Rattus norvegicus: one gene and its partner. The protein of the gene in region 1 purifies or fractionates together with the protein of each later gene. This does not show direct contact. Links are inferred from orthologs where the notes say so. Each region holds a gene or a part of one and is shown on either strand. Other genes may lie near its edges.

The links. Proteins that work in one complex are often made in the same cells at the same time.
Region 2: the proteins of Alk (region 1) and Shc1 purify together in Homo sapiens (affinity purification with mass spectrometry; 3 studies listed by BioGRID and IntAct, with this or other methods). This does not show direct contact. The link is inferred for Rattus norvegicus from reciprocal best matches to the Homo sapiens genes ALK and SHC1.

The regions. Positions count from the first base shown.
Region 1 is NC_086024.1:29,320,336-29,324,026, reverse strand, and holds part of Alk (ALK tyrosine kinase receptor precursor), read right to left. Parts: intron 2,550-3,691; coding exon 2,459-2,549; intron 2,360-2,458; coding exon 2,295-2,359; intron 655-2,294; coding exon 525-654; intron 1-524. UniProt on the Homo sapiens protein: Neuronal receptor tyrosine kinase that is essentially and transiently expressed in specific regions of the central and peripheral nervous systems and plays an important role in the genesis and differentiation of the nervous system.
Region 2 is NC_086020.1:177,137,265-177,141,406, forward strand, and holds the start of Shc1 (SHC-transforming protein 1), read left to right. Parts: upstream 1-1,283; 5' UTR 1,284-1,491; coding exon 1,492-1,986; intron 1,987-2,545; coding exon 2,546-2,616; intron 2,617-3,100; coding exon 3,101-3,164; intron 3,165-3,293; coding exon 3,294-3,413; intron 3,414-3,789; coding exon 3,790-3,843; intron 3,844-4,128; coding exon 4,129-4,142. UniProt on the Homo sapiens protein: Signaling adapter that couples activated growth factor receptors to signaling pathways. Participates in a signaling cascade initiated by activated KIT and KITLG/SCF.

The DNA of each region.
Region 1 (3,691 bases):
GGTTAAAGGCTGGGCTTCATGGATGTACCTTAGAGTTTTTCACAAGTTCTGTCCCTCATACAGGACACCACAGGCATACATACTACCTCCTAGGTATTCCAACATGATGTTGTCATTGTCATTATTATTATTGTTGTTATTATTATTATTGTTATTATTATACTGAAAACTACACAGTCAGGGTGCTGCCTATTATATTTGTTTTTGAGAAGAGATCAGTGGGTTCGGAATCCTCGGATGGAGAGCCAGTGAGTGACACAGTTAGCATGCAAGTCCCTCTCCGAGTTTGCTGGTCCAGAGTCATCAGGTCATGAGTCAGGTTATTGAATCTATCGTGTAGGGCTTGTACAGTCTCCTTAGGTTCTCGTCCACCATCCACTCTCTGTCCATTCGATTCTGACCATTCTCTTCATGACGAAACCCCAGGGCTGACTCCTAGGAGCCCATCAAGCAAGTACTTCCCTTGTAACCCACTCCCCCGGACATGAGCCCTGGGAGCCATGAGAGAAGACGCTGTCACTCACCGGGCGAGGACGTGTCTCCCTGAGGAAGGACTTGAGGTCTCCACCAGCCATGAGCTCCAGCAGGATGAAGCGGGGCAGGGCTTGCAGACTCACCCCGATGCAGCGGACAATGTTCTGGTGGTTGAATTTACTACAGGGCAGAGGGCATAATCGAATTTAACGAAGCCAGGTCTGGGACCATCAAGAAAAGCAGGGCAGAGAGTCATGGTTTCAGCAACCATGCCATGACGCTATATTCTATAAATATGGGTAAATATTCTATAAATAGGGGTCTCTGGTTGAACTTGAAGTAAACCTCCCTGGAGAGATGCATACATTGAGCAGGCTTGGCAGGAGCTGAATTAACAGGGAAGGATTCTGTTGGAGTCAGAGGACTTTGAGGTGACAAAGTACATGTATGTGTACTTTGCATGTGTGAGTGTGTGCATGCCCCGTGTGTGCACATGTGTGTATATTTGCATGTGTTTGGTGTATGTTTATATGTGTGCATGTGTTTGTATGTGTTTGTGTGTATGCATGTGTACACATATTTATATGTATGTATGTGTTTGTGCATGTGTGTGTGTATGCGAGTGTTTGCATGTGTACAGATGTTTTTAGAGTTTGCCTGTGTGAGCACTGCTACATGAATTTATACCTGAATTCTCTAAGGAAGGTCTCAGGCAGAAGTTGGAGGAGTGGCTTCTGAAAGGGAGATCGTGTGACCTGTGTGGTGACAGTCTGTGACAGAGTGTCAGGGGGAGAGATGGCCCACTGATCTCCATAGTCTTCTGAAGACTCCACATGGGCAGGGACTGATTAGGACCCAAGGTCCTGAGATTTGGTTTATCTTGTCATTTTAGGATATGCAGAACAGTGGGGCTAGGAAACCCCAGATGGACACACACACACACACACACACACACACACACACACACACACACACTCTGAGTTGAAAGACTGGTGATTATATGCTGAAATATATCCATTTATTACTACCTAGTAGGAATACTACATGATTAAGCTCTCCTTCTATGTAATCTTATACGTTTTAGGTTTTATTTATTACTCTTATATGACATATATAACTAGAAAATAAATATTATTTTTTAAAGCAAAGTGCTATCCTGGCAGTGTGTCTTCCACACGTTCCAGAGCCTATAAATGTATCACTCAGACAGCTTTTGGCTGTATTCTTGCTGCTTCAACCTGGACCACTCCAGGCCACCTCCCCGGGTCAGGATGTTTGGAGGCATCATAGCGCCAGAGACATCTGTGAGCCTCCTTCAGGTCACAAGGACAACTGTCTGCCTCCTCCTTCAAGAGACCTGAATTGCTACCCCCAGGAAGTTCCTGGTTTCAATGCAGGCCTGCCTTATCTGTTAGGGTGCAGCCCTTGTCATTGTCGATGTGGGGTATGGTGGTCGGCTATCTTTCATTGGTTTCCTTACTCTATGTCCAAGGACCTCAGCTCTGGAAGAGTCACTTGGGGGGGGATGGGGTGGGAGATACCATCTAATGCAAGAATGCTTCCTTAAGTGAGGAATGGGAGCCAATGGCTGGCACTAGGAAGCTGGGGAGGCATGGTGCTATCAGTAATTAGGCCACTCAGATCCTTCCTGAGATAATCATGGGCGGTTGCTCCACTTCAGGGGTCCTTCCCGTGGTTGTGTGGGTAGGGGGATGTTGGGACCAACATATATCCAGTTTCCTCTAAAGATCCCCATCCATTAGAAAGATCTTTCTATGCCTTGAGGGGTCGGGGGAGAGGCTGGGCCTCTGTGCCTTTACCTGATGATCAGAGCTTCCATGAGGAAGTCCAGCTCATCTTGCTCTGAACACACTTCCGGCAGCGTCTGGAAGGTAGGGTGGGAGGAGAAGGTGGCTGTGAGCTGTGGCTGTAGCCCACAGGGACCTCAGGCTAAGGCTAGGCGGAAGGTGGAGCCACCCCTCACCTTTACAGCCACTTGTAGAGGGCTTGGGTCATTGGGCATTCCAGATACCTGGCCTTCATACACCTCCCCAAATGCGCCATGGCCTAGGCCCCTGTACCAAGAAGACAAGACAAGTCACAGTTAAGTGAGCCACAGGCAGCTGGGGACCTGGAGATCAGTGTCACATTCAGTGTACACACACAAGAGGAAGGGTGACCACTCGGGAGTTACACCTTCAGCTTGGCTTCACTATGTCACCCTGGCCTCCATTTCTCTTCTCTTCTTTCTTTCCTTTCTTATTTAAATTACCTTATTTTATTTTTTAAACTGAAAGTGAGTATATTTTCATACAATTTATTCATATTATGGTTTCCCCTTCCCTAACTCCTCCCAGATCACCCACCCACCTAAAGCCACCCCCTTTATTTCTCTCATAAAAAAAGCAAAACAGGAATCTAACGTAACAACAACAACAACAACAACAACAACAATACAAAATCCAAACAAACCAGTCAGAATAGGTCAAAACAAACAGAAAACAAAACAAAAACAAAAAACCTGAAGAAACTCAGAGACACACACATTCATACACACAAATCTAAAAACACAAAACTAAAAACCATAATGCACAAGTAAAAGACCTGTAAGGTAACAAGAAGAGGAGGAGGAAGAGGAGAAAGAAAAAGAGGAGGAGGAGGAAGAGGAAGAGGAGGAGGAAGAGGAGGAGGAAGAGGAGGAGGAAGAGGAGGAGGAGGAAGCAACAGCAGCAGCAGCAGTAGCCCAGGTAAAGCATTATGAGTTAGAAAACCTCTAAAAAATACCATCGAGTTCACTTTGTGTTAGCCACCTACTGCTGGGCATGGGGCCTGCCCTCAAGTGTGTTCGTATAGCCACCGAGAATGTTGGAGAAACTAATGTTCGCACTGTTATTGGGCCTCCATTTCTTTATCTGCTCTGGTGAGAACAGGTCTGCTAAGGTTTGAGGTTCACACGCAGAAAAGCAATCCTGACTATGAGGAGAGGAAGTGATTCAGATGAGGCAAGGTTGTTAAGGTGGAGCATCCCATGGGCGGGTCCTGGTAGCTTAGGGTGCCCACTCTGTCTTTGCAAGCAAGAAGGTCATCACCAGATACAGTCACAGACCTCGGGTTCCTAACTCTGAGACAAATCGAACCTCTTTTCTTCATAACTACCCATCCTGTGGCATTGTGTGATAGCACACAGAAAATAGATCAAACACAGGTCTAACAGGGA
Region 2 (4,142 bases), on another chromosome or scaffold:
TGATTCTCTGTAAGTTTGAGGCCAGCCTGAGCTACAAAGCAAGTTCTAGGGCAGTCAATGTAGTTACACAAACGAACCCTGTCTTGAAAAACCAGACAAACAAAAAAGTACCTTTTACTTCTTGTGTTTGGTTACTTTTTAAAAAGTGAATAAAGCTATAGTTTAATCCGGAGCTATTTTGATTGGTCACTTTCTTTAACTTCCTGAATGGCCTTCAGCAGAGCTGTGGCAGGAAACTGTGGGCAAAGAAATAGGGGTTTGGTATTATTATGCACTTATGGCCAGATTCCAGCTTCTGATATCCCTTTCTCCTTCCTGTCTTTATTAACACAGATTTGTTTATGGCCCTATTATCCCTTTGTGGCTTGTAGGCACCAGTTCTGTGTGTTTCTTTCTCCTACCTCCAAGGCCAACTCCTCTACTAGTGTGAAGTACACTGTCTGGTGGGGTGTGTAGCCTATAAGGCGTAAAAGTATATCTGTAGGTCTAAGGGGTGGCCAGATCTCTATATCCTCTGGGGGCTTTCCTCACTAGGCCTCTGGAAGAGCACCCCCACCCCCAAGTCTGTTGGTCCTTGGTGACTTGTAGAAACAGCCTTGCTCTAGCTCTTGTCTGGTAGCTCCCAGATGCACCACCCGAATTAGCCTTTATTCCTATTTCAGCTTTGTCTTTCCTCTGGGCCTCGCAGTACATCCACTGGGACTACTTCCCTTCCTGGTTCTCAACTCTGGTCCTCAGCTGTTGGGGTGGATGCTAATGGCCCAGGTTCCCTGGAGCTACCACCTCACTCACTGTATGGTGGGGGTGGGGGTGGTCTGGGCTAGGGGGTGAGGGATTCACGTCTTCAGCCGGGTCTGGAAAGGAAATGCTAAACTCTGAGGGACAACTTCCCTCCCCCCACTCCCCGCCCAGCAGCTTCTGTTTCCTTCCTATCCCTCCCAGTCTTCCCGGTCTTCCTGCTCTCTTTGGCTTGCCCAGGTCTGTTTGGATTGGTCCAGAGTTTTCCTTAACTCCTTCCTTTCTTTTTTCTCTTTTGCTTATTCTTCCTTTCTTTCTTGCCCGGCACCTCCTCCTTCCCAGACAGATCACTAGTTGTTTGTATTGGGCTGGGGAGAGTGGCCTGGCTAACACAAATTATGTGGGGAGGTGTCTCAACCCCTCTGAGCCTGTGAGTCAGCACTGTCCTGGGGATTGGTTTCTCTCCTTAGTTCCCCGCCCCTGGGGAGGAGCCAGTCAGCTCTGGGTCCAGCCTGTACTCCTCAGCCAGACGAGGTTTCCTAGCTGGGCTGGGCCAGGATGTGGTTTGAAACTGTCTAGGTCTGAGTTGGGAGAGCAGAGGTCACTTGTCCTTCGCCTCCCCAGGTCCTCTGTTATCACCCGGCTGCCGAGGTCAGACTAGGCTAAGGGTCTGGGGATGCCCCCTGCCTGGCCCCCTTGCCTGAATTGGCAGGGGGGCCGGGCCGGGCAGCAGCCCCCCTTCTCACCCCAGCCATGGATCTTCTACCCCCCAAGCCGAAGTACAACCCACTTCGGAATGAGTCTCTGTCATCGCTGGAGGAGGGGGCTTCAGGGTCTACTCCACCGGAGGAGCTGCCTTCCCCATCAGCCTCATCCCTGGGACCCATTCTGCCTCCTCTGCCGGGGGACGATAGCCCGACTACCCTGTGTTCCTTCTTTCCCCGGATGAGCAACTTGAAGCTGGCCAATCCTGCTGGGGGGCGCCTGGGACCTAAAGGGGAGCCAGGAAAAGCTGCAGAAGATGGGGAAGGGAGTGCAGGAGCAGCCCTTCGGGACTCAGGCCTCTTGCCCCTCCTCCAGGACATGAACAAGCTGAGTGGAGGCGGCGGGCGCAGGACTCGGGTAGAAGGGGGCCAGCTGGGGGGCGAGGAGTGGACCAGACACGGGAGCTTTGTCAATAAGCCCACACGAGGCTGGCTGCATCCCAACGACAAAGTCATGGGACCTGGGGTTTCCTACTTGGTTCGGGTGAGTGCATATCCCCTTTTCTACTCTCCCCATACCCCTTCCAGTTCCTCCAGATTTGTCGGGACTTCCTGCTCTTCCCCCTGGAACATCTGTGCCATTCTCTTAGTTCTTAAACCTGGTGCATTCCTTCTCCAGTTCTCTGCCCTTAATTTAGCCTGCGAATCTTCTGCCTTTCCTCCTTTGGTCCCCACTCCCCAGTTTACACAATGCTCAAGCACATCAGAGGCTTTTGGTAAAAGTTGAATGAAAATGACTTCTTGATTCTTCCCTTTAGACTCCTCCTTTTTCCAGAGATGTCACTCCATCCTACCCAATACCTGCTACTCCTCTCATAATGTCTCTGTGGTGCATGAAGTTCCTCTTTGCGGTCTTTCTTTCCTCTTTCCCCTTTCCCCTTCACAGTACACCTATGGGGTGGTAGCCCCAGGCAGTAGGAAAGCTACTTCACCTTTACTTTCCTTAGGGATAAGGCAAAGCCCTAGAACCTTCTGCAAAGGGCTGGCAAGTGTGGGGTGGGGGATGGGGACAGCTGATCCATTCTTCCCTCCTTCCCCTACAGTACATGGGTTGCGTGGAGGTCTTACAGTCAATGCGAGCCCTTGACTTCAATACCCGGACTCAGGTCACCAGGTTAGTGGGGATTGAAGTTACAGAAATCTCAGCCAGGGAGAGGAGGAAGTTGGGCATTTGGTGGTGGTGCTGATGGCGATTTCTCGTGGGTGGTCAGAGAACTGAAAGTTACAGAAGTAGTTCTGACTGGAAGGAGCCAGCTCTGGTGTGGAGCACCACCTCACCTAACTATCCAGCCTTGGAGACTGTGGGAAGATGGACTAGAAAAGGCAGCAGGGGTAGGAGGTTGCTGATGCTTTAGGGAAGGAGATGGAACATTCGGGAGCTGGGAAGAGGTGGAGCTGCAGCCATTGAGGCCCTAACCCAATCAGCCAGGAAGCGGCCCCTCAGTGTCATCAAATATTAAAGGCCCTTAATTCAATCCACCACGACAAAGAGCCTGGAGTGCTCTGGGAATCTGGCCTGGTCTTCCCTTCCCCCAGCTCTGTGGCAGCCCTAGCCAGGGGGAGGCCCATGGTGGGTCTGAGTACTCCTGTTTCTCCAGGGAGGCTATCAGTTTGGTGTGTGAAGCTGTGCCTGGTGCCAAAGGGGCGATGAGGAGGAGAAAGGTATGTGTGGTTGGTGTTGGGGCTGGGTGATTGGAGGCAGGGGAAGGCATGTGCAGGGCGTGTCGGGAGAAGGTGAGTATTTCCTTATGCTGGGAAAACTCAGATTCTGAGACTCTGGGCCCTTCCTAGCCCTGCAGCCGCCCACTCAGCTCTATCCTGGGAAGGAGTAACCTGAAGTTTGCTGGAATGCCGATCACTCTCACTGTGTCTACCAGCAGCCTTAACCTCATGGCAGCAGACTGCAAACAGGTGGGTAGGCTGCTCGAAGGAACCAGGGATAGTTAGTTATGGGAGCATCAAGTGGGGATTGGAGGCCAAAAACTTGCAGTCTTCAGGAAGAACTGGAGAGTAGAAGAGGAAGAAGTTAGGAAGGTTGAGTATAGTGATACCTTTTATCCTAGCACCCAGGAGGCCAAGGCAGAGGAATCTGAGTTCTAGTCAGGGCTACATAGTGAGACCTTGTGCCTCACCCCACCAAAAGAAGAAAGAAATTAGGAGAATGCAGGGTAAAAGGCCAAGAGAATGATCCCGGGGCTCCAAGGTTCTATGCTGGGGTGGGTTCACGTGGAGCCCTGAGGCTGCCTGACCTTTACCATTCCTTCCTTCTCCACCCTGCCCTCATCAGATCATTGCCAACCATCACATGCAATCTATCTCATTCGCGTCTGGTGGGGATCCGGTGAGTTGGGGAACAGAGAAAAGACGGGTGGGGAAGAAGAAACTAGGGGCTGAAATGATGCTGGCTAGAGGCTGGGAGTGGTGGCCACACAAGAATCCCAGCACTCAAGAGGCAGGATAGCCAGGGCCATGCAGAGTAATCCTTCTTGAAAAACCAAAAGAGGGAGGGAGAAAATACTGGCTAAAGAAGTGGTGCACAAGGATTGTGAAATATGTAAAAAGGACAGAGTTAGTGGGTCAGGAGGTAAACTCTAGCTAACTGGCCTCCTGGATCTGCCCTCCCCAGGACACAGCTGAGTA